4 linked regions of the Notamacropus eugenii genome follow. The protein of the gene in region 1 interacts with the protein of each later gene in a biochemical or structural test. Links are inferred from orthologs where the notes say so. Each region holds a gene or a part of one and is shown in the gene's direction. Other genes may lie near its edges.

Region 1 (7,533 bases):
GCTCATATTTCATATTACCTCATATTTCACCAAAAAAAAAAAATTGAGACCATTCACTAATCCCCTCGTCATCTCTGATCACTAAGGCATCTCCCCCCACTATCTCCTCTTTCACCACTAGCATGAAGAGACAGCCCTTCTCGTCAAGGATGACCCTCTACATGTGTCCTTGACACCATCCCCTCTGGTCTTCTCTAGCAGATTGTTCCCACAATCATCCCCAGTATCTTTCTAATCGTCACAGTTCCCCTTTCTATTTACTGGCCATTCACCACTGTCTTCAAATATGGACATGTCTCCCTTATCCTTAAAAAAAAAATCTTCACTTGATATGACCATCCCTGGTAGCAATAGTCCCATATCTCTCCTCCCCTTCTTAACCAAAGCCTCCACTTCTCCACTCATTTCTAAACTCTCTGCATATCTCACTTTAGATCTCATCATTCAGTGAAACTACTCTCTCCAACATTACCAAAGATTGCTTAACTGCCCAATCTAATGGCCTTTTCTCAATCCTCATCCTTCTTGACCACTCTACCCTCTTTAATACTGCCAAACACCCTCCTGGATTCTCAATTCTCTCTAGTTTTTTATACACTCCCCTTTCCTGGATCTCCTCCCCACCTTTCTGACCAATCCTCAGTCTCCTTTGTTGGATCTTTACAAATATCCTTTATTTATTTTATAAATAAAAAGTATTTCCCCAATCTTCTTTCCTGGGCCCATTCACTTTGTGTTCTCATCACTTATCATCTCCATAGAGATGATTACCAGATTTATTTATCTAGCCCTAATCTCTTTCTTGAGCTCCAGTCTTGAATCACTCACTAACTGCCTTTTGGACAGTGCTTCAGTCCTGCGTCTCCAACTAACAACCCAAATAGAAGATGTCTGAAACACAACTTAATTGTTTTTCCCTTTTCCCAACTTTCTTATTTCTGTGAAAGGTATCACCATTCTATCACTCAGGTTTGACACCTTGATGTCATTCTCAACTTCTTCCTATCATCCAAATATCCAATATGTCAAATTGTGTCATTTCTACCTTTACAAGACTTCTTATCTACATTCCTTTCTCCTCATTCTCACAGTTATCTCCCTAGTTTTGGCACTCATCACTTCTTGCCTCGACTGTTGGTATTTTTTTTCAATTAATAAGCATTTATTTTTATTGAAAGGGAAAGAAAAAGAAAACCCTTGTTATGAATATGCATAGTTAAGCAAAACAAATTCCTTTGTTGGTCATGTAAAAAAAAAAAATGCTTCATTCTTCATTTTGAGTCCATCACCTCTCTGTTGGGAGATGAGAAGCATGTTTGGTTCTCTGGAATCATGGATAGTGATTGAGTTGGTTGGTGTTCTTAAATCCTTCCAAGTTGTCTTGAAAGTCTTGTTTTTATAAATATTTTTCTCCTGATTCTTCCTCACTTTGTTCTGCATCAATTCATATGTCTTTCCAGGTTCATACAGGTCTATCCCTTTCATTATTTTTCATGGCAAAATAGTATTCTTACATTCATATACTGTAATATGTTTAAGCTATTCCCCAATCGATGAGTTCCTTTTAATTTTCAGCTCTTTGCTATTACAAAAAGAACTGCTAAAAATATTTTTGTGCGTATGGGTCCTTTTTTTTTTAGGCTATAATCAATTGCAATTTTTAAAATTTTATAGATAATTTTACTTTTACATCTCTTTGATTTCTTTTTTAAGATTTATTTCATTTTTAATTTATGGAATAAAACCAATATTTCCATGGTATAGTATAATAAAAAAATGATTACGCATGAAACTGCAAATTACTATATATAACTTGCTGTACCTTTTAAATATACAACAAAGTTATCATCTAAATTTCTTTTTTTCCTCTTTTTTCTTCCCTCCTTCCCCCAGAGATGATCACTCTGTGTGTGTGTGTATGTGTGTGTGTGTGTGTGTGTGTGTGTGTGTGTGTGTGTGTGTGGTGTGTGGTGTGTATATAATTATTCTATGCATACTTCTGGGGGCCATCTCCTGTTGTCCTTATCTATATCTGGCCTTTGGACCCAGATGGTTCCAGAGGAGAAAGTGAGGCTGGTGACTTTGAACAGTCCTCCCTCCCTTAAATCTAATTCACTTTCAAGTCATAGCATCACCTCCTTGATGTCATGGTCCCCTTCGAGAATGAAGTACAAACAACGTTCAGTTCTTTCTCTGGATGTGGACTATGTCTTCCTTCATCCTTTATAGTTAATATGAGTATTTATAATGATAGAATGACTGATTTGCTCAGTCATTCTTAAAACAATACTGCTGTTGCTGTATGTAATGTTCTCTTGGTCCTGCTCATTTGGACATAAGTCTTATAGTATTAGCTCTGGGTCAAAAGGTGCGTACAGTTAGTAACTTTTGGGCAGAGTTCCAGATTGCTTTCCAGAATTTGCCTGGACTCTTTACAATGGAATTCTAATAGGTCTTCCTGCTTCAAGTCCCACTCCAAACCATCCTCCCAAAGTGATTTCCCTAAAGTTCACATCTTATCATATCATCCCCACCTCCCACCCTCAGTCAATAAACTCCAGTGGCTCCCTATTACCTCCAGGATCAAGTATAAATAAAATCCTCCCTTTCAGCCTTTAGAATTCTTTATAACTGGTTGCCTTTCTACCTTCTTAACGCTTTTTACTAACTCTGTGAACTCTTTGTTTTTTCTTGAACTCTCTTTTTTTGGTTTGTCTTTGCCCCTATTGTCAACCTGCCTAGAAAGCTCTCCTACTTTACTTCTACCTTTTATTCCCTGGCTTACTTTAGGTCTCTGCTTATATCCCACTTTTTTTTTTTTTATGTCCCACCTTTTACCAAAGGCCTTTGCAGGCTCCTCAGCTATTGGCCTCTTTCCCTCTGAGGTTACCTGACATCTGCCTTGAATGTACATGCTGGGTTTCCATGTTGTCCAGAATGTGAACTCCATGAAGACAGTCATTTTGCCTTTCTTTGTATCTGGGCCTTAGCACTACACAATAAGCACTTAACACATGCTTATTGACTGGGAAGTTGTTAGCATCAGGAGGTAGTTCAGGTCTATATATAGTAGCAGGTGCTCCACAAATGTTTGGCAATGGGGATGGGGATATTGGTGTAGATATCTGAGTATTGTATGTGAATTTCTGTGTGTGCTCCCAGCCTGCCTCTTTTCTCACCAGGAAGAACCTAGTCCTTCAAAGTCAACACTTCCCTTCCCTTTCCTTCCCTTTCTGTCCTTAAGCAATGGAGAGCCTTTGGTGTCCTGTCCCAATCTCCTTGGCCTGCCTGTCTCCCTGTAACCTGAGATGCTCTGGGTCAATTTCTCTCCCAGACTGGAGTCCCCTTGATAGTGGTGGGAATTATGTTTTCCTAACCATTTGGTGATTGGCCATATCCTTCCCATAGTCCTAAGAGTTCCAGGACAGGGGGCCAGGGTGAGGAGGGAGAACCTAGTCTGGATGTGAGGATTATATATCATATCACTCATCCAGCTCCTTCATCTTGTAGGTAAGGAGAGTGAGTCCCAGAGAGGCAAGTCCCAGTAAGTAACAGTAAGTAGCCTTGCCTAAGGTAGGGAAGGAAGGAAGGAAGGAAGGAAAGAAAGAAGTTGGCGGTAAAAGCTAGAATTTGAACCCAGATTTCTTGGTTCCAAAGCTAGAGCTCTATTTCACTGGGTTGCTTTGGGAAGAATGACTGGCAGAAATTAAAATAAGTAATTAAAATGACTGTTAACCTTTGGGAGCCCCCAAACTTTGTTCTTCTCCTGTAGAGGTTCTTGGGCTTCCAACCATCTTCTCTCTGGCAGCACAGAGAGCCCTTTAGGGAGAGGATGCCAAGCTAGAAGGCTGGAGAAACAATTAGGCCCCCCCACCCCCTGGCAGACTGGAGGCAGGTGGCCCAGAAACTGGAGACAGGGAAGGCAGGGTTCTAGGGTTCTGTGACTTACCTGGCCCTCTGTTCCAAAGCTTCCCTTCTCTTGGAGTCTTCTAGCCTGGCCTATAGGTGAGGAGCACACCAGCGCTCTACCCCAAAGACTACCAGGGGTCATCCTCTCCACTTTTTCTCCTTCCATTCTTTGGTGCTTTTCTCCTTGTCAAACACTATTCTCAGGCCCTGCCCCGGGATATCCTCTTCTCTCCCCTGCTCTATCACGCCCCTGCTTCTCTGTTCCCTAGGGAGTTGGAGCCTAGGTTACCTTCTGGCATGACCTTTTATCCAGTGGACTCTCTTTCTTTTTCCAAGCTTGGGCTGGGACCGGGTTCACCCCATAGAAGCAATTAAGATGGAGGAGAATTTGTCAGGAGGGGAGGAGAAAAGTGTTAGAAGTCATAGATGAATTCATCTTCTCTACATATGAGCATGCTCCTGCGTGGGAGGTTTTGTGTGTGTGTGTGTGTGTGTGTGTGTGTGTGTGTGTGTGTGTGTGTGTGTGTGATCTTTGTGACCAGGTATGCGCATAAGTCTGTCTTTATGTTTCTGTTGCTGTCACACACATGTGTATATATGCGCACGACATGCTTCGTGTGTTAAGAAATTATACGCTCCTGTGAGATGGGTCCCAGCACCACCACCATAAGGCTCTGCTTTCTCAGCTTGTCTACAAAAGCAGAAGTAGAAGCAAGTTCCCCCTGGGGGGTCTGGCCTCGCCCCTTCCTGTCCCCGCCTCCCCCCCTCAGCTGCCCTGGACTGGTGGTGCTTCTGGGAGCTAGGGGCCAGTGCAAGGAGGGACTGGGCTCTGTCCTGGGCCCTGTTTATACTGTCCTCCCTCCTCACTCGTCAGCCTACCCTGCAGGAAGACTTCCCAGGATGGTGAGGTAAGGACCGAGGGTGCAGGATGCTGGGGGGAGGAGCTGGTTCAGGGGAGCAGGTGCTCTCTTGTATCTAGAAAAGGGAGACTGAGTCTTGGGCTCTGGACAGCACCTGTCCTGGCCTCTGGTGGCCCTAGTCCCCAGCTGCAGCTTCTCTTCCACAGGTGGTTTCACCGAGATCTCAGCGGGCTGGATGCTGAGACTCTGCTGAAGGGCCGTGGGGTCCATGGGAGTTTCTTGGCCCGGCCCAGTCGAAAGAACCAAGGGGACTTTTCCCTCTCAGTCAGGTTGGTGACTTTCTTCCTTTTTCTCTGGTGACTCTGCCTGTGCCCTTCATTCCTTGGCTTTGTCTCCTCCAGACTACCTCCCCAGTCCTGTGTGATGACCCTTAGCGCTCCCATGAATCAAAGCCTCAGACCTCCACACTGCTCCCTGCTCCCTGCCTGAACCCTCTGGTTTTGTTCTAGCCTTGTGCCTTCTTTTCCCCTTTCCTTTTCTGCTCCCATTTTCACTATTCCTAGTTTGTGTCCCACAGGGTAGGAGACCAAGTGACCCACATCCGCATCCAGAATTCAGGGGATTTCTATGATCTCTATGGAGGAGAGAAGTTTGCTACATTGACAGAACTGGTGGAATATTACACTCAACAGCAAGGCGTCCTACAGGACCGTGATGGCACCATTATCCACCTCAAATACCCACTCAACTGCTCTGACCCCACCAGCGAGAGGTGAGGCAACCCTCCCCCAACTCCTTAACCCCACTCAGAGGGGAGGTTAGCCTTGACCCTGGACTCTTAATAAGGGTCTTCAACCTAAGGAGAGGTGAGCGTAATAGTAACATCAGGAATGCAAGAATCCCTTCTACAACAGATGAAGGCATTCCATTGATGGACAGCTCTGGTTCTTTCTAGAAAGTTCTTTTTCTTTTGGGCCAAAATCCACCTTGTAGTTTCCATCTATTACTGTTCTTTCTGTGATCTGAATCTACATGAAATACATTTATTTTTTTTCCCACATGACAGCATCTTCTCCTTTAGCCTTCTGTTCTCTGGCCTAAATATCCCCAGTTACATTAGTCTTTAGTCATCCGACATGGTTTGCAGACCATTTTTATCATTGCCCCTTATGAAATGTGGCTCCTAGAGCTGAGTGCCAGATGTGGCCTGACCAGAGGAACTACCTCCTCCCTCAGTCTGAACACTGTACTTCTGTTAATTTTGCATTAGATTTTCAAAAACAGTGTTTTGGTCACTGGAAGTCTTTGAGGAAGACCAGATGACCATTTGTTGGGTATATTGTAGAAAGCATTTGTGTTTAGTTATTGGTTGGACTAGAAAACCTCTCATATCCTTTCCAAAACTAAGATTTCATGATTCTGACACTAAGTGTGCAATCAACTGAAATATCTTTTCAGTTCTTTTCACATTAACTTCTGCTAAACCATGTTGGCCTGTCCTGTTCTTGTGCACCTAGTTGGTCAGTGCATATTGAATCCTGTTCATACTAACTGTTCATGTCAGTTCTTATGATATTATATATTATCATATATTTTTATCAACTAGCTAAGTTGATAAGCTAAGCCACTATTCCAAGTCACTGATTTAAAATATTGACCATGATAGGGTTAAGAACAGTCCTAGAGAATGCATATAGCTATTCTCACTACTTTTTAGGAAGTTTCAGACTTAGTACCCAACCTCAACTTTCTCCTCCTTCCTTGGTAATTCCATGGTGTCCCCTCTCTGCTGCTTCACCTACCATGTTCCTTCAGTCCTTCTTCCCATCCCAATCTAAGATCTACTCAGGACACAGGGGCTGAGGGAGTCATGAAGGCCAGAAGCAGTGGGTGATATGGAGGGACTATAGAGAGAAGAGTTTGAGTCAGTCATGGGAATGATAGTGGCAGATTGACTGGGGTCAAAGGATGCAAGAAAGGGAATTAAAAAAAACCAGTAGAGCCATGGATTGGGGGATAGTGAAGGCACTGGTTTTTAATAAAGACCAAACCAAGGGAGACCTTCTAAGAGATGATTGTGAGTGGTTGGTCACGCCCTCCCCATTTCCCCAACGGGTATGTCTGAATTGTCCCGAGGAGTACTCTGTACTCTCTGTGTAGAAAAAGAAATTCACCCCAACAAACCTTCCTTGTTATCCTTCCCTTTCCCTTTCCTTTCTCTTCGAAGTAGTTTCCCTGGGGAATTTGCATCTGTTCCCTCTGTACTTGATTACTAGCCTGTGGGCAAGTCAGTATTTGCATGGACTTTCCTCCTCTGGTTGTTGGAGGTTGGGGACCAGACTTTAGAGCCCCTTCCTTTTCAGTCTGGAGGACCAGGCCTACTTCTGGAGTAGAGTTCTCTTGGCTTAATAGTAGGGTTAGGTGCTGGAGACTGGAAAGAAAACCTTTGGGTCCTTAGGTCAGTGGTCACTGAAGCCTTGGCCTTCTCTGCACAAGCATTGAAAAAATTAAGTTCTTTTTCTTACTGTCTGTCCTACCCTCCCCCTCCTACCTCATCATCCCTGCGGTTGGAAAATCTCTACCCCCCCTCAACCCCCAGGCTGAAGAAACCTCACTTCTCACTCTCTCCCCAAAGGGAGCTTTTTTGCTTTTTCCATCACGTGTTTTCCTGTGGGGCTGGGCAGCCCTGGGGTTAACTGTTTCCTCTAGGGAACAGGTTGGGAGGGGGGAGAGTTGGGGGGATGTTGGGGAAAGGTTCCAGTTC
Region 2 (6,956 bases), on another chromosome or scaffold:
CTTAACACTGATTTTAAGTGAAACGCTGCTCTTGAAAAAAAGTAAAAAAAATGTTATTGTTTCTCCTTTGCTTTTTAGCAATATTAAAATCTTAAGCAAATAATCTTTCTTGTTTGGATTATATATACACAAAGCATACTCCTTTTTGGAAATGATACCTACCAGGGCAACTCCTTTTCATAGGATAATAATTAAATATGTCTAAATATGTAGGCAGGCATTTTTATCTACATCCTTATTATGTTAATTCATATACATTAAGTACAACAATCAATAATAAGATAATACACATATAGCTAAATGTCAGATATGATTATAATATATTTGAAATGTTTCCAGAAAGACTGCAGCTAGGATTTTTTTCTTTAAGCAGATTTCTGATCTGCTTAAAGTGGACAGAACAATTATAATGTCTGATAAAATGTTCAAGTTGCTACAGTAGTTTCTATGGTGACAGTTGTGTGGGCAGAAAGAATGATGACTCATTGTGTTTTCTGTACTTGACTTCATCAGCTGAAAAAAGAAGATAATGGGCATCTAGTTTAGGATTGCTTTTCAGATCATTTTGATTATCAATTGAATTTCTAGCAAGACTGAGAAAATGAACTATATTGGGTCATGTTATATTTCTGGTATTAATTTCTTATTAATTATTTTCTCCTGCTAATTAGCAATTCAGTTAGACAAAAATTTATTTCTTTATAAGACGATTGAATTGTCTGCTTTTAGCTAAAATGCAGTAGGTGAAAAAGTATAATAGATGAAACAAAAATAAAAACATTACCCCTCAGCCTCCATCTGCCTATTTTTTGCCAAGTACTTGAGCTATAACAATAAAATAATGGAAGAAAAATTTTGTATTTGAATATCAGATGTATAAATTATAATTAATGGAATCTTAGAGATCATTTAGTATAATCCTTTCGTTTTATAGATTAATTCCATATTTGAACTATTTCCTCATATTTTAAATACTTTAGTAGTTTATCATTTTGGAATAAATCCTCAAAGAATAATATATTTCCTGGATGACTGAAAATTTGTTTTGGACTGGAACTTTTTATTCCCACTACTGTAGAGTTGCACCTGATTTGCAACTTTAGCTTTAGGGAGTTGTTTGGAATCACTGAGAAGGCAGTAACTTGGCAGGATCACACAGTCAGTATTAATCAGAGCTGAATTTGAATTCAGGTCATGTTGACTCTGAGGCCAGCTCTTTATCTAATTCTCTAACAGAAGATTAAATTCTACTTGGTTTTTCCTATTTAATCCACATATAAGTTTTTTAGAATATATTTATTTACACTTTATATTGCTTACAACAGAAAGGCCTACAGAAATGGAGTCCTCAACGAGGTATATTTAAAGATTGTTGATTTGATTGTGTTTAACCCTATTCAAATTAATTCTGGACGTTGAGTTTGATTTCTTGATATAGTCAATAGTGTTCATCATGGTCAGTAGTGGGGGAAAACTCAAAGTACCCGGCTGCTAAACATGGAGACTGGGGACAGCAGCAAGATCTTGCATTTCATTGAGAGGACGAATGTGATTTGTAGGACCCAGTGCAGGACAACATGACCAGGAACTGTTTAAGAGAAATGAGTGTCTGCGTAGAAAAGGGATGGGCTAATAGATGTAATTACACTGGTCCTTTGTACCTTTCAGTGAAATGACCTAAATTAACTCCTGATGTTTAGGAAGACTGCCACTTGTTTCTTGAAAAGAAATTTCTGCTATGTGAGTTTTGCATCTCTTCTCTAGGGCTCTAACTTGCAAATTGTAGTTGGGGAAGAGTGAATATGTTTTTATCTTCTTTGCTTTGCTATCTGGTGTCTAATAGTGGTAACTGCTCTTTTGATTGAAGAACAGTTAGACTTCTGATCAGGACTGAGTTTATGATAAGCATCCTGTTTAGAAATAACTTTGGTTGAATTTCTGACATAGCACTCTGCCCATTAGCCTAATAGTATATTTTTCTAGCTTAGATCTGTGGTATTGTCAAAGGACTTGTGAAATGCTATTTATTTAGATAATGGTTTCTTATTTCATTTTGCAGCATAGTAAATAAATATGTTAAAATATGCAAGTAGATATCCTTATTTATTATACTTATTCATTTTCTCAACTCATACACTGAGTATAACAATAGAGACCAACCTACCTCATATTTAATCATTAATTCTTATTACAATATCCTATCTTAGTGAACAAAATATTCACAGTCAGTCAACAATTGGCATTTATTTCTTGATATAATTAAGGTGGATATAAGAATTATAATAGAATTAATCATTTGCAACCAAAAGAGGAAAAAAAGTTTCTAATTCACATGCTGCAAAGAGAAATTCATGGCTAAATTGATAAAAATCGTTGAAAAATCACAGGAGCACAAAAACTTTAATCTGTGTAGATATGTGAATAGAGGAGACAAATAGAATGGTAAATAATCTCAGTAGCTACAAGCAGTCCTAGAGTGCCTCTAATTCAATTTCCCATTTGGAAGAGTTTAGGTAGACTGTTTCTGGAAGAATCATGATGATGCGCTATGGAAGCACCTTGGAGAGGGTTAGAGCACACGTGGACATTTTGTAATTGACTGCTGTCTTCTAACCACCTGGTAAATAGAAGACTATTTGACTGGCTACAGTCAAAGAACTGGTTTGGGATGCCTTCAAAAGGGATTAGATATCCTCAGCTTTTTCTCTTGGCTTGGCTTCTTGTTTTGTTTTTTCCCACCTGAAACTGATAGATGGCCCTTTCAATATGGGCCTTCTTTGTGAGAGCATTTGTTTCTTCACTTTAGGAAAAGGAACTTGGAGGCTGCAACTTCATGAGTTTTGAAAGGTCATCTGGAATTCTGGGATTCTAGAAGTTGAGTCTATGCCAGGATTGGCAGCTAGCCCTGCTTTTCTGCCTGAGTGATCACAGAGAAACCTTCAGGAACCAGCCCAGACATTGTTGTTATTGCACACATGTTTCAGTTGTGTCTGATTTTTTGTGACCCATTTGGTGTTTTCTTGGCTAAGATACTGGAGTGACTTGCAGTTTCCTTCTCTAGCTCACTTTACAAATGAGGAAACTGAGGCAAACTGGGACAAGGGACTTGCCTAGGGGTCACACAGTTAAGTGTCTGAGGCCAGATTTGAATTCAGGAAGATGAGTCTTCCTGACTCCAGGCCTGGCACTAAATCCACTGCACCATCAGACTTAAGGTAATGATGTCTCATTTGAACATGAACTTGGTGAGTTGAATGCTAATGCTAGATAGAGAGTGTGCTAAATCTGAGTCTCCTCTCCCCAGAGACCAACATGCTGAAAAGAGGAGTATGATCTTCAGTAGTTAGTACTTGTGTATGTTTGAGAATGTTTGTGCATTTGTATGTCTTCAAAGTAAATATCCTTCTGTACAAACTAATCAGTGTTAAGTAGTCAAATGGAACCACTGCTTCTGACATCCAGTAATCCACCATGCATTTCCATACCTTGCATTCACTCTCTGTCTTCCATATATGGAATGAATGTCTACCTCTTCTTGAGAAGATAAAAGAGGAAGGGTGAAGGTGCATTTCTGCTGAATCTAGAAAGAAGATTGGAGATGAGAGAGTCCAATCTTGGCAATGGAGACAGTGGGAGCAAAAGTACAAGAAGATGAGAGATGAGGGGGATAAGAATACATGACAGAGAGTAGTTCAACTTAGCTGGAATAAAAGCTATACGAAGAGCGGAAAGAGTTAAGGCTGAATAGGTAGGTTACAACCCAATTTTGGAGAGCCTTGAATGCCTCTTGAGAACTTATTTTTCCTCTCATAGTCAGTGGGGAGCTTCTTACCCATTGTGAGGAGAAGAGTGACATCATAGTGGAGGAGCCATGATGGTTACCAGAGTAACTTTGATACACATAGTTTAAAGAAAGGATAGAATAGTGGCAGTAAGACCAGTTAGAAGACTAGTCCAGATGAGAAGAGATGAGAGCAGCATGAGTGTAAAGGAACAGACAGATCAGAGAGCTTCTACAGACTTAACAATTGGTTGGCTAGACAAGGACAAACAAAAGTGTTTGGAGTGGTTTGCCAGACAAGGTCAGGATAAAGTTATGTTCTTGTTGGATTTTGTTATTGTGATATCTCATTTAATTTCCCTTGGTCACTGAAATTATTCATGGAAAGTGGCTTTGAATCATCCACAACCATGTATCTTAATAGCATAGATAATTGTCATTTAGGATGTTCAAAATGCTAAAAAAAAAAAAATGTGTTTAAAGGCAAACCCCACCCCCACCCCAAGGAGTTTAAAAATATTTTTCTTGTCATGCACAAACCCAGTTTATAAATCATACCTTACATATGTGTTGAGTCACAAGAGGGAAAAATGACCAGCAAATTCATTATTAATTTGTTCATAGTCTTGTTGCACAGAATAACTAGTTGTCAGTTTAAGTAAGAATGTTACATTATTCTGACTCTGTATATCTAACAGTTTCCTTTTCCATACAAGATGACTCATGAAATATTGTTCAACTGGTGGTGTGGACATATATCTTTTGCCAGTTCCTCTATACCAAAAAGAAAATGGGAGAAATGAGTATGTAAAGAACCATACAGGAAGGGATGGGGAGAGAGAGAGAGAAAAAGAGAGAGGCACAGAGACAGAGATAGAGAGAAAGAAGGAGGAGAAGAAGAAGAAGAAGAAAAAGAAGAAGGAGGAGGAGAAGGAGAAGAAAAAGATGAAGAAGAAGAAGAAAAAAGAAGGGAGGAGGGGCTACTTAAAAGCAACTGGAGAGAAACTCATCATGGGCTCAGTGTGGAAGGGATTGATGAGAACCTCAACAGTAGGAGAAGGATCCTACTCAAACACTGTCACAGGGTGATCCCCAAACCCCATTTAACCTTAAAATTACATGGTGGGGAACCATTATGGTTGAAGTCCCAAAGTTGAAGAACAAGAGGGAATGGCTTTGGGCAGAATCCAAGAAAGTAGAAGTTCTGAACTACTGTGCAAAGCTCTTTTCCTCTTTTGGTTATGAATGATTAATTATAATTTTTACATTTATCTTAACCATATCAAGAAAAATGCCAATTGTGGACTGACTAGGAATATTTTGTTAACTAATATAGGATATTGTCTTTTAACACTCCTTCTTTAATTAGATAATGTGCCTAAATTTATGGGATGCAGCTAAAGTAGGTCTTGGGGGACAGTTTATATCTCTAAATGTTTTTTTCAATAAAAAGAAAAAATCAATGAATTGAACATACTAATCAAAAGAACAAAGCCTTCAACTAAGCAACAATTTAGAAACTCTGAAAACTAAAGGAAAGATTAATAAAAAGGAAACTCAAACTGATAAAAATAGCAACTGCTTTTAATCGGAAAAACTAATGATAAAATAAACATTAAAAACAAAGAAATAGTCTATATAGTTAATTTAAAATTAGAAAAAGAGCTTGAAGAAACTGTGGATGAACTTCCATAGTCAATAATTTTGGAGCCAAATGAATTTATAATTAACTTTTATGAAATATTTAAAAGAATAATATTACACACATATTATCATTTGCAATAAGAAAATGTCATACATAGAGTTGTTTTCTATGATATAAATGTGATTAAATTCTAGGACACTATATCTAATGAACATTGACAGAAACATTTTAGATAAAATATTAGCAAGTACACAACAATTACATATTAGAAAAATTATTCACAATGACTAGATTGGATTTATACAAGGAATGCACATTTTCTCAGCACAAGGAAGTCTATAAATATAGCATGTTAATAATACAAAAACAGCTAGATAGAAGACCAGATCTGGAGTCAAGAAGACCTGAGTTTAAATCCAGCCACTGGCACTTGCTAGTTCTATGACCCTGGGCAAATCACTCAACCCCTGCCCACTTCAGTTTTCTTATCTGTAATATGGAGATAAAAATAATACTTATTTTGCAATGTTGTGAGCATTAAATGAGATGATAATTATAAGGCACTTAGCACAGTGCCTCGCACATAATAAACCCTGAATAAATGTTAGTTATTGTGATGATGATTATATAAATAGGTACTGAAAAGGATTTTGACAAAATCTTGAACCTGGTTCTATTAAAACCACTGGAAAGCATAGGAATGAATGAACTTTTCCTTAATGTAGTAAATAATATCTATTTAAAGAGCAAACACTGGATGTAAAAAAGAAAAGTTAGAGGGCTAAGAGAATTGAGGCAGAGCAAAGATGCCTATTATCATAACTATTATTGTATATTATCCTCCTAATGTTAGTTATACAACGAAACGAGAAAGAAAAATTAAGGGAAAAAGCATATATAAAGAGAAAAGGATATTATTTTCTGCAGATAATATGATTACTTACTTTAAAAATATCCAAAGAGTCAAGCTCAAAACAATTAATTAAGCAAATTTGAAGGATATGAAATCAATTTATGTAAACCATCATCATTCTTTCCTGTTAGCAACAAAACCACGGGGAATACCTAGAAAGAGGAATTCCATTCACTATAATTACAGAAAAACATAAAATATTTGAGATTGTATCTACCAAGATAGATTCAGGAGCTGTATCAGTCCCACTATAACACACTATTAAAAAAACGTTTGTATTTAAAGTTTTGAGTTTCAAATTCTTTCTCTCTTCCCTCTCCTCTCAGGTGATAAGCGGTCAGACATAGGTTATACAGGTGCAGTTATGCAAAAGGTTTCCATGTTATTCATTTTGTACAAGAAGAAAGTGAAAAATAGCATGCTCCAGTCTATTGAGTCAATATCAGTTCAGTGTCTACAGGCAGATGGTATACTTCTAAAGTCCTTTGGGATTGTGTTGGATCATTGTATTGCTGACAATCGTTCTTCACTGAACAACATTGCTGTTAATGTGTGCATCCTGGTTCTGTTCACTTCATTACGCATCAGTTCATGTGAGTCTTTCCAGGTTTTTCTGA
Region 3 (6,935 bases), on another chromosome or scaffold:
TGCTAGACTGCATACAAATATGGTGTTATTAACCTATGTTAGGTGCTCAATCATTTTCATATTTTATATGGCTGGACAGAAATTCAGTTCTCATTCTTGAATACCACCTTCTTAACCAGTTGTTCACTACCCCAGTCTGCCAAACGCTAAAGTTCTTGCCTTCTGTGAGCAGCAATGAAGAGAGAAGGAAAGAAAGAAAGAGAGAGAGGGAGGGAGGGAAGAAAAAAGGAAAGGAGGGATGGAGGGAAGAAGGAAAGAAGGAAGGGAAGGAGGGAGGGAGGGAGGAAGGAAGGAAGAACTCACCTGTGCCTCTTAGGTCTTCAGTGTTGTCCATGATTTTGTAATCTTGAGGAATAATTTCTAGGTACCTTATGGTGATATAATTTCTAATCTTGTGAATTATTAGGAGTGGGTAGTAAGCATGTGGAATGGCAAACTTTGGGAGAGTCCCTGTCAAGTCTTGGATATATGTGTTAGGAAGACAGGAGATCTCTCTATTATTGTTATTAGGTTGACAGGTGACTCTGATGAAGGGAATCACCAGCCACTTTTTGTCCCATCTTCCACTGACCCTTACTGGATGATCTTTCATTTGATAGCTTTTATACACACACTCCCATGTTGTCATTCCCTGGAGGACTAGCAGCTGCTTCCTCTTCAGGTAGACCTCTCCCTCTTCCTCAAAAAATTCATAGGATTTAGCTAGCTAGTATTCGTAGAACACTTTAAGATTTGCAAAGGACTTCTACAAATATTTTGTTTTATTTTTATGACAACCCTGGGAGATAGGTGTTATTATTATTTCATTGCACAGATGCAGAAACTGAGGTGGACAATGGTTAAGTGACTTCCCCAGGGTCACACAGCTAGTAAATGACTAAATCTGGTTTTGAACCCAGAGTTTCCTTACTCTTTGCCTGGTACTCTAGACACTGAACCACCTAGCTGCACCAGTAAGTCTTAAAGAAGTCTTAAGCTTGTGCAAACCAGGCTTCATTTTGTCTTATCCACTTTTTAGAAATGTTTTCCTAATCCATTTATTCCAAATATTTGGTGGATCTTCCCTCTCTCTTCTGTGTGATCTTCTTCTACGCTCCAACTTCCTACCATCCCAGTTTCTTTAGGTTCTGCATTTCCTTTACTTTTGACATTGCTTTGTGTGTTTAATTTCAATTTCTGTTATTTTTTTTAAGGGATAGTACTATCTTTGAGGACCCATAGAGTGGAGCGGCACTCTTTATGCCTTTTTACCCTGTATTCCAGAAGTGAAAGTAGCCTAGACCTTGGACAGAGATAGCAATCATTTGGTTGAGACAGAAATATAGACATGGCTCTCAATGCAAGTCACTACAAATGTTCCCCTGTTCACCATATTGACTGGAAGTGACGATCCCCAGTATTTGTCTTTTTGCTGGTAACTCCTTCAGAGAGCTTCAGTAGCAAAGTCTTCTGAGGGTCTTTAACTCTAAACTTCTCTCTCTCCTCACCTCATTAGAACCTTGTTAGCACCTTGACACCTACATTAAACTTTCTCCCCTTCCCTCCTGGTCTGAACCAAGTTGTAACACTAACCTTGCCCTACCAATTACCTTCTTCCTCCTCCTCCTTGTTCTTCAGCTTGTCTTTGACTTCTTGACTTTCTCCACCTTCAGCTCAACTCTATCATCTCTTCCCTTTGCCTGAGTCCTTCTCTTCCTTCAACCTCTCTTCAAGTCTTTCTAAATTTCCACCTTGTAAAGTCAAACTTTCTTCACAATCCCATAGCCCTTCAAAATGCCTTCCAAGTCGTCTTACTCTTGCTTCTTTTCCCACAAATTTCTCCCATGGAAGCCAATCCCTGTTGATGTCTGGCCCATGGCTGGAATGGAAGCATCTCTGACATCCCAGTCTGATACCAGGAAGAGAGCTTCATCTGTTGGATCTTATTTGGGCATTTAGAGCATTGCAGCAGGACATTCCTCTAGAGCTTCATTGACTGTAAAGGTCTCTATGTGGAACCCATACTGAAAGAGGAATAGGGAGGGGTCTTTGTGGCAGTGAGCACTATCTCATGGGACCCTCCCTCCCTGAGAGTTATCGAGGTAGCCAGCAGAGGGGGGTGCTAGACTTTTTGGAAGTCTGGCTTTAGTGGCCAAAACTGTTGTCTGGGACACAAAATCACATCATCTCAAAACTTGAAGGTATCTCAGAGGTCCCTTAAGTGAGAACACATCTGAAATATAAATCCTTTCAAAAACATCCCTAATCAGTAGTCATTCATATCATATGATAGAGCTGGAAGGAGCCTTAGAAATAACATTATTTTCAAATGCCTCATTTTAGAGATGAGGAAATAGGGACCCAAAGAAGGGAAATGATTTATAATAGCTAGCATTTATCTAATGTATAATCTCATTTGATTCTCACAACAAACCTATGGAGAAAATGTTGTTAATAATGTGTTTTGTAAATGAAGAAACTGAGCGAGGGATAGGTTAAGTGACTTGACCTGGGTCACACAGCTACTAAATATGGACTCATACTCAGGTCTTCCTGTCTGCAAGCCAGGAAATGTTCTAAGCATTGCACTACTTGGTGGCTGCTAGCCTTCGCCTATGGTCACATAGTAAGGTTAAGAGCAGGGCCAGGACTAAATATCTAGTAATGTTCTTTCCATTTTACCACACTGTCTCTTTCCTTTTCTATGACCAAAACAATCACATCCTTTCTCTTCCAGCTATTAAGGTGTCTGCTCCCCTCTCTCACTTGTTTGGAATCTTCTCCATCTCTGAGGATTTCTCGGACATCTCTGAGACTGACGGGATATGTCACCTACTTTGCATCCCACAAAATTGGCTCAAATTCTAAACTCTTCCTTTCATCCAAAATTCCTAGGTCTGAAGGACCTGAATCCTATGCCATAGTTCACTGTTTCCTCACTACTTCCCACCTCACCGTCTGACCAACTAGTGCCTGCATACAGAGGACTAGTCTTATGCTTAGAGATTCATGGGGTTGGGGAGTAAGATCAGGTTGTACTGTCCAAGCAATGGGCACACCAGCAGTGGAGGCCGCAAAGGGTTAATGACTGCTGGGGCTAAGTGACTCCAGATGTGCTGGACCAACCTGTGGTTGATCATGACCAGAAGCCAGGCTACAGCTCTGCTTCCCTCAGCCATCCCCTCCCCTCCCTGGAGATACCCCGAGTCCCCAGTTTCAAAGGAGGCAGGAAGGCCTTGCCCTCTCTGCCATTCCTGCCATGTACACTCTGTCCTTGAATACAATCATAGAATATAGGACCTAGAATTTCAGAACTAGAAGGGAACGTAGAGCAGAGAATGTGAGAACTGGATGGAACTTAGAATGGCCGAGCCGACAGGACCCTTCCAAACCATCTTAGCTCAATCCATTCATTTTGCAGATGGAGAGAATGAGACCCAAAGATTGGGGAGTAACAGGTTACCCCACAACACTGTAAAGCATGATCTCCTGTTTTCCCTTCTTTCCTGGGGACCCTCTCCCAGAGGTACACAGGCGGGCACTGCCTGAGATCCCTCTACCTAGCACAATCCCTGCCACGATTGCCAGGTGATCGACAGATTGCCAATCTATGACCCTACCTTACCGTCAGCAGCAGAGCCCCCAGACCCTATTGCCCAGTCTGGGGAGAGGAGAGGGGAGGGGAGTCACCACCCTGGGCAGAATGGGCTGGCCTCTCTTAATACAAATGACTCAGCTGCTGGCGTGGGCTGTGGAATTTCTAAACATCCCCTCATATCCTGAGAAAGAGGGAGAAGGCAGAGAGTGAAGGGAAAACAGAAAGAAAAACAAGAAACTCAGGGGAAAAAGACCAAATTGAAAACAGACACACGCACACACACACTCCTCTCTCTCCCTCCCTCTCACGCTCCCTGCCTGCCTGCCTGCCTCCCTCCCTCCCTCCCTCCCTCTCACACACCCTCTCTCACTCAAAGAGACCAATCAAAGGGACCTCTTCGGCCTTTCCCCCCAAGTTGTAGGAGACAGAGCTTTCTCTCTCACTCAGAGTTGTCTCAGCCTCTTACTGCTTCCACCTCTGCCTGAGGCCTGGGTACCCTGAACCTAGCCGCTATCCATCTTCCTCGCCCAGCAGGCCAAGAGACAAGGGGAAACCAAGAGAAAACTTTGTAAGCAGAGAGTGGACCAGGAGGGCTTACCTCTTCCTTTGCCTTCTAACTGTCCTTGATCTCAATCCCTCAGAGGGGCAAACATACAGAAAGACCAAACTAGAAAGGCCCTCCTGAGTCTGGAGATTCCCATAAGGATGCTCTAGAACTGTCTCTGTCCCTCCTGCTGCTGGTCCTTGGACCAACTGCTCCCCCTGTTCTCCAGTCACTCCTGCCTCCTGGAGCTCCATCCACGGGGGCCAAGGGAGGTGAGTTTGGAGACAGACGAGGAAGGGGCAGCATCTGGGGACTCCGCAAAAGTAGGCTGTTTGTGAGCAGGCAGCAAACAAGGCAAAGTCAAGAGAAGACCAAGGCAATAAGGTAGGTGCCTGGGCCCCCAACACTCTCTGCCCCCACCTCACCCCACTTTCAGGGCCCCTTTGTCATGTCTCAGCCACACTTTGGTCAAGTTGAAAATGGAAAATATTTTTAGCGAAACCAGATGGGAGAAGCTCAGAGCAGAGTTGGGAGATGTCAGTTTGCAAAAGAGTTGAATATCCTTTGCCATCCCCATGCTCAGTTGGACCTTCCGCAATCATGCCCACCAGACGGGCCCCTCTTTTCTCCCTTTTCTACCCTGTGCCCCAAGAGCTAGCACCCCGCCCCCCTCCATTCCAGCCCTCATTCACACAAAACCACTGGGTTTTCTGGGCTCCATTCTCCTGGCTCAGTATCTTAACAGCGGAGGGTCTGTTTGCCAGAGCTAGGGGGCGGGGCCTGGGGGGGTAGGGGTGGCTTGAGGGGCCAGAGAATGGGCAGAGTGGGAGGGGGACTTTAAGGATGAAGGCTACTAAGGGTGGGGAGATATTGAGGGCAAGGGGTTGTGAGGGGAGGAAGGATTATGAGGAGAGACAAACCATGAAGGGAGGGGACTCAGAGAAAAGTGGCGCTGAAGGGGGTGGAGTGGTTCGTACTTAAGTGGATCAGACTGGAGATAGAGGACAAAAGTTGTGGGGGAAGGTGGGGAACAGATGGGGGGGGTTGGCGGTTAGGACAAGGGACTAGGGAATGAGGGAATGAGTGTGAGATGGCGCTATAAAATAGGGAATGAGGCATCAGGATCAGCAAACAGAAGATTGGGGACCAGGGTTGGAGAGGGGAGACCTTCAGCCTCAGCCATGAGTCTGCAGCCGTTTTCCCAGAAAGGATTTGGCTTCAGGCCAGTCCCTAGGGCCATCGAAGCCCCGGGGATTTAAAGGGCTTTGCAAATTTTCCAGATTCCTAAGATGTCCTTCCAAACCCCCAGCTGATGGGAAACTGTCAGTTTGTTGTAGCTCTCCTTATGCTGTTAGGGGTGGAGGGGTAAGCGGGGAGGAGAGGAGGGGACAGGAACTGAGCTTGGGCAGCCTATGAATGGAGCTAGGGCTCCAGAGTGTGGGGGGTGGGGATACAGAGGGGGAGGGAACAATAGGAGACCTCCTAAGGAAAGCATTGATCTCTCAGACCTCTCTGCCTTTTTCTAAGGGAAGGGCCTAAGCTAAGAGGGGTCAAGGGTGATAGGAGGACCCTGACAGATCCAGCCCCTCAGTCAATGATAGTTTTTCTAGGTAGCTGTAGGATAATTGGTGTATAAGTTTGTGCAAACCAGGGCATTGCTTCATCCTGTCCAGTCTTTAGAAATATTTCTCTAATTTATCTCTTCTTCACTCCCACAGTCACTATCCAGCCTAGGTCCTCATCCTCTTCTGACAGAATGCATTATTAAAGTGATGTTTTGTGAGTACTTGGAAAAGAAAGCAGTGATTACTATGAGCCAGCATGGGTTCATAAAGAATAAGTCATGCCAGACTAACCTCATTTGCTTTGACAAGGCCATACCCTATACATAGCAGACCTGGATTTCAGCGAGACATTTACTATGGTCTCTCATTCTCTTGTGGAATGTGTTTAGAGTGATTAGATAGAGTAGGCTAGATAGTAGCACAGTTAGGGAAGCTAAGAACTGATCAAATAGCTCGTCCCCACAGTAACTGTTCCAGATCTTTCACTTTTTCCTAACGTCCCCCATGGCAGCCTCAACTCCACACTTATCAGCAGATGACCTAAACTGCTACTTCACTGAGATAGAAACCATCTGAAGTGAACCCCCCAGGACCTTCCTTTGTCCCTTAAAATGCAGCAGCAGCAGCAACCTGCCTCAGCCTGAGCTAAGGCTGGCCTTCTAGCTGGACTCTTGTGAGTACATCATCCCCTCCTGATTCTTCTCTCTTGCTTCTTATCATCCCTTTTCTCATGCCTCTCCAGTCTCCTTCTCCAGGAGCTCTTTCCAATGGGCCTCCGTGTTGATCTCCCCATACCTTAAACAAAAGAGTGTTCCAGTGACCATTTTACTCCCTCTAGTTACTTTCTAACATCTCTCCTCTCCCGCACCGTCAACTTTTTGAAAAAAGTGTCATGTGATGTAGATGCTTGGTGATATGATAGTACTTCCTCACTACTGACCCTCAGTGGCACAGTGGCTAGAGCACCAGGGTGAAAATCAGGAAAGATTTCTCTTTCTAAGTTCAAATCTGGCCTCAGACACTTATGAACCATGTGACCCTGGGCAAGTCACTTTATCCTGTTTGCCTCAGTTTCCTCATCTGTAAAATGAGCTAGAGAAGGAAATGGCAAACTGTTCCATTATCTTTACCAAGAGAACCCCAAATTGGATCACAAAGAGTTGGACAGGACTGAACAACACCACCACCTGTTGTATTTTTAGGTTCTTTCTGTGGCCTCCTCTTGCCTACTAAGTTCAAATTTCTTATC
Region 4 (7,403 bases), on another chromosome or scaffold:
AAACCTCAGCAACAAATGCAGTGACTACACTGATCAGTTTTGACATCGCATGCCCAAAGTACCTCACCTCTTTACTAAAAGGAAGGGTGTCTCATCATCTTTTATGTGGTACCAAGACTGGTCATTGTAATTGTGCATGGTTCAGTTTCCTCTTAGTTTTTTTCTTAAATTTGTGTTATTATAGTCATCATATCTATTGTTCCCTTGGCTCTGCTTATCTCTCTCTTAATTACTTCAAGTCTTCCTATATTTTTCTGAATTCCTTATGTTTGTCATTCTTCAGAATAATGCTTTACTATTGTCTCTCTACATCCAATCATTTGCCAAATCCTGATGACTTGTCTTCTGCAATATTTCCTCCTGTCTCCTCTTTAGTCACCACTCTAGTTCAGTATCTCATTTCTACTTATCTACACTATTGTGACAAGTCCCTTACAGTACTCCCCCTCCCCGGGGTAGAGCTACTCATCCCCACGGACTTGACTTTCTTACCTACTCTCTTGGGCCCATCTGTCTGGGAGGGAGTTTCCTATCAAAACAAGTCCTGGGGCAAAAATAAACAAATAAAAAAGAATTTGAAAGAAAGGAAGTGAGAAAGAAAGAAAGAGAAAGGAAGGAACAAATTAATGAATGAATGCCCATGACTTCTATATCAGTCAGGCTAGATACAGAACCAGTATCCTGTCTTCACCCTGCCCCCAAGACTGCTAATACTACAAAGAGACAGAGAAAGAGACAGAGAGATAGAAGGAAAGAGACAGAGAGACAGACACACATGCACACACACACACACACACACACACACACACACACACACACACAGAGCACCCATAAAAGAATTTCCTCTACCTTGAAAAGTTATAAACAATTAATCTTCAGCTCTGAGTCTCCAGTCAGGGAAATGCTCTGGCAGTACACCACAGCTGTAAATTGCCATCCCAAGTGCTCCCTTACGGCCCCTTTCCAATATGTTTGTGCATAGCCACACATGTTTTATCTATACAAACGATTACTTCTGTGTTGCTCTATCTCTATCTCTGTCTCTCTTTCTCTGATTTTCAACTTTTTCTTTTCATCTTCTTCATTGATGTCTGCATGTATGTCATCACACCTTCCCCTATCCTTAACATGCATATTAGGGCTGGTCCTAGGAATCCCACCCTCTTTGTATTTATGATCTTTATATTATTATATTGAAAAGACAACACAAACAGAAATGCAACCTGCGCTTCGATGGACATGCCTAGTTCTAACACGGAGACACCCGTCTTGAACATGCTTTTTTGAGCATGCCAGATTTACCTAATATGGAGTCAGCTATGACCCCTACCACATGGATGGGGAGAGTCTACTTTGATTGGCTGCCTACGTCTTTAAAACTGGCAAGATTAAAACTTGTTCTTTTTGACTACTCTCTTCTCCACCAAGTTTTCTGACGTGCCCAGCTTGGATGCCATGAAGTGAACCAGTGAAAGGGGAAGAAATGTACTTCCCTTCCTCCCTCGCTTTTACTCTCACTTCTGAGAAATAGGTCTAGGGGGTGTTTGTTACTGTCCTGTGCTGTTTGCCATCTTCAGTTACAGGTGCTAGAAGTGATGTCAATGGGTCTGGGAGTTTGAGCCATGGTTCAGCCTGGGAGCTAGGATTGCAGGTGGGGTGGTGCAACCAGTCAGAATGGCATGAAAGTCCTGAGAAATCAGGATGCCTTCAACTAGAGCCCATGAGGGGGTTTTGAACTTGGAACCGGAACTGTGTACTATGGGAACCAGGCTAAACTATGAACCTAATCCTCTTTCCCTCTCCAGAGACAGAGAGGGCGTCCTGTCTCCACTTATTGGGAGTGTGCTTGTGCTTACATTTTTTGAAGTAAATATTTCTAATTTCCAGTCTGACTGTTTGTGACTGATAGAAATGGGGTACAGGAGCATAGTCCTCTATACTTGGGGGAGGAAGACAATTACTGGGGGCTGGAGCCAATGGCAGAGAACTGTAAAGTTAAGGGAATTTGAAGATCTTCCCTGCCCGTTAGTAGGCTCATGTGACCTGCTTTGAGCTTTGGCCCAGCCCACAGCTTGAGTCACATAGAGTCAATTGTGGGAGGAGCTTGCCAAATGAGTGGAGCTGAGAGAGAGTGAGGCAGAGCTGAAGCAGAGCAGCTAGCATGAGTGAGAAAGAGTGGAATTTTGCCTAGGGGAACTTGTTTGTGGGGTGGCCTAAGAGAGGGAAGGCTTGGGGATACCTGTATTCCCTTCATTGGTAATGTGTACAAACTTTGTTGTTACCATGGTGGAATTGGCTTTCTGGTGTTGGAATAAATATTTTTTCATCTTTGAGGAAGAGAGTTTATATTTTGAGAATTTACCCTGGAAATACACATACATACCCATAGCAGCTGCTGTGGGTATCGCATTGATGCTACAAGAACCTAGACCCCCCAAATCACTTTAATGATACTGGAGAACCCAAAGGGCAGAGTGAAATGTAACATACCTGACTTTCAGGCAGTGAGGACCAACATAGTCTGTGTTACAGAAAGGTAAACAAACTCTTAAGAACCGAAGGTAAGTTTCAGAAAATAAGGCTCTGAAGAGAGACAGAGGGGAAGAGAAGAAAGGAGAAAAATAGAAAAATCACTTTCCTATGGGTCTATAGTCTGGGGAGTGGGTTTTGGTGGCATCTTTCCCAGTATGCCTGGTGCCCAGCTCTGATTCTAGAGTCTGGCACCAAATCTTACAGTTAAACATCTTCCTCTTTCCCAGGACACAATCTTCAGCTCAGTTACTGAACCCCCCCCCCTCAATATCCCAACACACACACACGCACATGCACACGCACATACACACGCACATGCACATGCACACACCCACTTCTGTGTTAATGCATTCTCCAGTGGCCCACCATCCTGTTGTCTGGGAGAATAAATCTATGAGTCACATCAGACTCCTTCGGTTAGTCCCTAAGTTAGGGCAAATCCCTGGGTGATTGAGGAAGGAAACACTAGTGTGATTTCTGCCAGAATCAACAGGCAGCCAATCTCCACTGTCCTGATCTCCTTGACACAACACCAAGATGGTACTATGTATATATTACATTTGTACACCCCACCTCCCACAAAAAAAAAGCTCAAACAAACCACTATGTAGCACAAAAACATATCCCACCCTTTCTGTACATATTCTGCACTTCAATCAAATTGCAGGGAGAGTGACAAGCAGACAGACACAGAAACACAGTAAAAAACTAACAAAAAGACACCATGCATGCATACATGGACAAACTGAGATAATAAGATATACACAAAAACCAATGGATGTAGGAACATCAAGCTGAATAAGCTGAGAAAGGCAAACACAGAAAGCTGTAGAAAAAGGGAAATGGACCGGGAGACTTAGATTTTGCAGTGTTTATGTTCCCTTGACTGTGGACATCAGAATAAGTTACCCTTACTGTGTGCTGATAAGTTCCGTAACACTTTAAAACAGTCCTCACTGTACCAGGAAGCATCTTTTCTGTTTTTATTTTCAAACTTCAAAGTTTACTTTTGAAATAAGAGATTATATTCCAATAGAATTCTAAAGGTTTTTTTTTTCTCTTTGAGAATGTAAAGGAATGACATATGTTTTAGAAATTTACTTTGGTTCCACAGCATGTCTGTTTACTACCAAATGCCTTGGTCCTGAAAATTACCTCGTAAAACCAGCATTTCTTGAATTCTTCTGGGACTTTAATCTTTAGAAAATTGAAGACAAATCCTTTTTTGTTTCTTTTGGTTGAATGGGGAGCTGGAATATAGAATGGGAGGGAAAACCAATTTGTCTATAACACCATTCGGAAACAAATGAGTTAAAGTCATAAGGCTTTGAATTTGAGTTCTATCCCTGGCACTCCTGGGCACCTTCCTTAGCCTCAGTCGCATCCTCTGTAAAATGGTGATAACAGTGAATCTTTCAGGATTGTAAAGTACTTTTTAACCACGTGGAGCTACACAAATATGATATTATGATTAATTAGCAAACTCTCATGATTCTGGCAAAGCAAAGCTTTTTTTTTTCCCCCTACCATGGGCTTAGCAGTAAAATCTAGATTCACGACTATTTTAAAATGAGAATAGTTAAAGGGAAGAAATATCTTTCGTCTTGAATATCTTTCTTGAGTCAAGGGAGAAGTCTCCCTAGGTGGAAGGTAGAAATTGGAGGGTCCCTTCATTAAAAGATGAGGGAGTTCCCACTCTTCCCCATTCTGGGGGAGCCAGAAGGAAGATTGACAGGTGTGCCAAGACAAATGTCATTTCTGCTGCTTGTTTTCAAATATACTTTAAGAAACTAAACAAAGAAAATTAGTTCAGCAGCCTCTCAGGAAAAGGCCAGTCATTTCCTGAGTAGCTATCAAACCCGGCCAGAAGCTCATTGTTTTCAGTTTCCAGTAATGGCAGCTATTACCTGACCAGTGAGTGCCACTGGCCATTCGCTATTCACAAAGAGGAAAATCCTTCCAAGAGTGAATCTTAACTTTTCACACTAAGGCTTGCTTATCTATTACCCCTTTTGAAGACAACCTTTCCTACCAGCCCCTTGGTCGGACTTAACCTTCAGCGAATGAGCATTCCTGGGTTCTAGACTGAGCAACTATTACTCCAAGACAAGATGTATCTGGTTCTTCTGGGGATGCTTTGGTTCTGTAAGTTTTTATTTTCATTTTATACCTTAAATTTTATAGGACTTGAAGCTTCTGAGATAATGACACTTGATCTTTTTTTATTTTTTAGGTCCAAGACTGAAAGGTCAAGAGAACTGTAAGTTGTAGATTTTTCTACCTCTTTCCCCCCTTTCTGTCTTGCCTAGGATCTTGTCTAGGATTACAGATTTAGAACCAAAGAGAGTTTGGAGATCTAACCCTCTCATCTTACAGATGAGGGAAGGAGGTCAGACAACTTTCTTTCTTCTACATTATGTTGTCTACTTTGGGACTTTATAAATTACAATTAAACTGGTTTGATTACATTTTTAATGAAAAGATAAAAGACTAGAAGCTCCTCTTTTGGAAGATAATAAAGACATATAAAAATATGATCCTATTAGCACATATGTAAAAAAAGTTTTTGCTTAGTCCAAAACACTTGCATTTAACAATAATGTTTGAAATGTCATGAAAGTTCCAAGTGGGCAGCTGTTTGATTTTTGGAAAAAGTGAGCCACTTCATAATCTTTTTTTCTCTTTCTATGGCCAATCTCATTCCCATTCAGCACACAAAGGGTTGTTTTATTTTTTTAGACCCCAGCAGAGTTTAAGTGATTAGTCTTGGCTGTGATTTTTCCTTCTTCACAGAATATTGATTTGGGTTTATGTTTGATCCCAACACCAAACAATTCAGAATCTTGTGATAAGAGAGAATAAATATGTGTGTGTGTGTGTGTGTGTATCTTTGAAGATTTATTGACAAAGTGAAAATTATATATTTGGAAATTTGGTTTGGGATATAAAATATATGTGGAATAAGGGATTTGTTTTTAACCTTTTGAAAGAGTTTGGCATATTTAAGTAGGTCTGGGAACAAGGAAGAACTTTATATAGGGTAGAGTTCAGTTGCTGAACGGGGAGGAAGTAAAACTGAAACTCTGGAAAAATGGGTAGAAATGTGTGGCTGTTAAATTGGCCTTTAAGTTCAGATTATTTGAGAGTCTTCCGAGGAGGCAGTGTGGAATAGTAGAGATAGCAGTGGAGTTAGAGTTGGGAAGAACTGGTGAGTTCAAATTGGTGAGTTCAAATCCTATCTTAGACAATTATCAGTTATGTGACTGTAGGCGAATCAGTTCATTTCTCTGTGCCTCAGTTTCCTCATCTGTAAAATGAAGGGATTGAGTTTCATGACCTTTTACATCTTTTCTAGTTCTAGTTCTGTCTTTCTCTCTCTGTATGTATATATAAAACAACAAAGGGTTGTTTTTTCTAGATACCAGCAGAATTTAAGTGAGTAGTCATTGCTGCGATTTTTTCTTCCTCACAGATAATTGATTGGATTTATGTTTGATCCTAACACCAAACAATTCAGAATCTTGTGATTAGAGAGAATAAGGTGTGTGTGTGTGTGTGTGCGCATGTATATATAATATATTTTATATATATTATATGTGTATATGTATACATATACGTATATATACATATATACATATATATGTTTCTTCAGGGTGAGCATTTAGTACTTTCCAAAGTACTTTCACCAAAATTTGATTTTTATGATAACGTTGCAAAGCAAGTCAAGTAAGCATTATTATCTCTATTTGCCAGATGAGGATACTAAGCCCCAGAGAACAGAAGTGTGTTTTTCAAGGTTATGTAGTGAATTAGTGGTGGCATGGGGATTACAACACAGATCTTCTGTTTTACAATCCACTTTCTTTATCCATGAAATGGGAACTAACCTAATGGGAGCTAACCTAATCACTTCTCAGGGACCTGTCCCCCAGGTCTAGAAGCTCTCTTTCTTCATCTTAGAATCTCTGGTTTCCTTCAAGTCTGGTCTGCACAAGGCCTTTCCTTGTCCTCCCAGCTGCTTTTCCCACCAAGGTTACCTTGAATCTGTGTTTTATATATGTTTATACACACCCATCTCTCTCCTCTTTCCTTCAAAATAGAAGCTCCTCAGAGGCAGGGATTGTTTCAATCTTATCCTTGCTTCCTCAGTCCTTAGCACAATATCTGACACACAGCAGATGCTCAATAAATGCTTGTTAATCGATGAGGGCAGAAAGTCTTTTGGAAAATTGAAATTCTTTCATTTTGCATGATCTTGGTAAGTTTGGCAAAAATTCCCAGGCTCTTGGTTCTGTGTCTGTTTTTCATTGAAGTAGCAATGTACATTTAGAGCAACTAGGTGGTGCAGTGGATAGAGAGCCAGGCCTGGAGACAGGAAGACCTGAGTTCAAATCTGGCCCCAGACACTTGCTGTATGACCCTGGGCAAGTCATTTAACCCTCTTTGCCCTCAATTTCCTTATCTGTAAAATGACTTGGAAAAGAAACTGGCAAACTACTCCAGTCTCTCTGCCAGGAACCCTCCCTCCCCCCAAAAAAGAGTTACAAAGTCAGACATGACTGAAGTGAGTAAGTGATAACTATAGTAATGTACATTTAGGCTAACTACTTTTCTCTAGACCTCAGTTTCCTCCTTGGTAAAATGAGGTGACTGGGTGATCTCTAAAGCTTCTTCCAGAGTTGATATTCTATAATGATTGCAGTCCACAATCAGCAAGACATTTGTTCTTAGTTGGAAATGGGAGAGAATTCCTCTTTCCCCCGGTAATGAGGAGAGGAAGAGAGCCACTTGACTGGACCCCACTCATTTCATCTCAGTGACTTATATGAGTCAGTGAGATGACTGATAAAGTAGGGGCCACACACGATCTG

The links.
Region 2: of the proteins of PTPN6 (region 1) and SYK, one has a biochemical effect on the other in vitro, tested with the Homo sapiens proteins (2 studies listed by BioGRID). The link is inferred for Notamacropus eugenii from reciprocal best matches to the Homo sapiens genes PTPN6 and SYK.
Region 3: the proteins of PTPN6 (region 1) and PDGFRB form a complex in vitro, tested with the Homo sapiens proteins (2 studies listed by BioGRID and IntAct, with this or other methods). The link is inferred for Notamacropus eugenii from reciprocal best matches to the Homo sapiens genes PTPN6 and PDGFRB.
Region 4: the proteins of PTPN6 (region 1) and PECAM1 form a complex in vitro, tested with the Homo sapiens proteins (2 studies listed by BioGRID, with this or other methods). The link is inferred for Notamacropus eugenii from reciprocal best matches to the Homo sapiens genes PTPN6 and PECAM1.

The regions. Positions count from the first base shown.
Region 1 is NC_092874.1:195,341,542-195,349,074, forward strand, and holds the start of PTPN6 (tyrosine-protein phosphatase non-receptor type 6), read left to right. Parts: upstream 1-4,531; 5' UTR 4,532-4,554; coding exon 4,555-4,817; intron 4,818-4,975; coding exon 4,976-5,098; intron 5,099-5,346; coding exon 5,347-5,541; intron 5,542-7,533. UniProt on the Homo sapiens protein: Tyrosine phosphatase enzyme that plays important roles in controlling immune signaling pathways and fundamental physiological processes such as hematopoiesis.
Region 2 is NC_092872.1:107,506,107-107,513,062, forward strand, and holds the start of SYK (tyrosine-protein kinase SYK), read left to right. Parts: upstream 1-3,943; 5' UTR 3,944-4,082; intron 4,083-6,956. UniProt on the Homo sapiens protein: Non-receptor tyrosine kinase which mediates signal transduction downstream of a variety of transmembrane receptors including classical immunoreceptors like the B-cell receptor (BCR).
Region 3 is NC_092872.1:377,728,066-377,735,000, reverse strand, and holds the start of PDGFRB (platelet-derived growth factor receptor beta), read left to right. Parts: upstream 1-3,935; 5' UTR 3,936-4,505; intron 4,506-6,236; exon of another isoform or gene 6,237-6,359; intron 6,360-6,935. UniProt on the Homo sapiens protein: Tyrosine-protein kinase that acts as a cell-surface receptor for homodimeric PDGFB and PDGFD and for heterodimers formed by PDGFA and PDGFB, and plays an essential role in the regulation of embryonic development, cell proliferation, survival, differentiation, chemotaxis and migration.
Region 4 is NC_092873.1:327,459,823-327,467,225, reverse strand, and holds the start of PECAM1 (platelet endothelial cell adhesion molecule), read left to right. Parts: upstream 1-4,398; 5' UTR 4,399-4,643; coding exon 4,644-4,677; intron 4,678-4,765; coding exon 4,766-4,792; intron 4,793-5,664; exon of another isoform or gene 5,665-5,754; intron 5,755-7,403. UniProt on the Homo sapiens protein: Cell adhesion molecule which is required for leukocyte transendothelial migration (TEM) under most inflammatory conditions.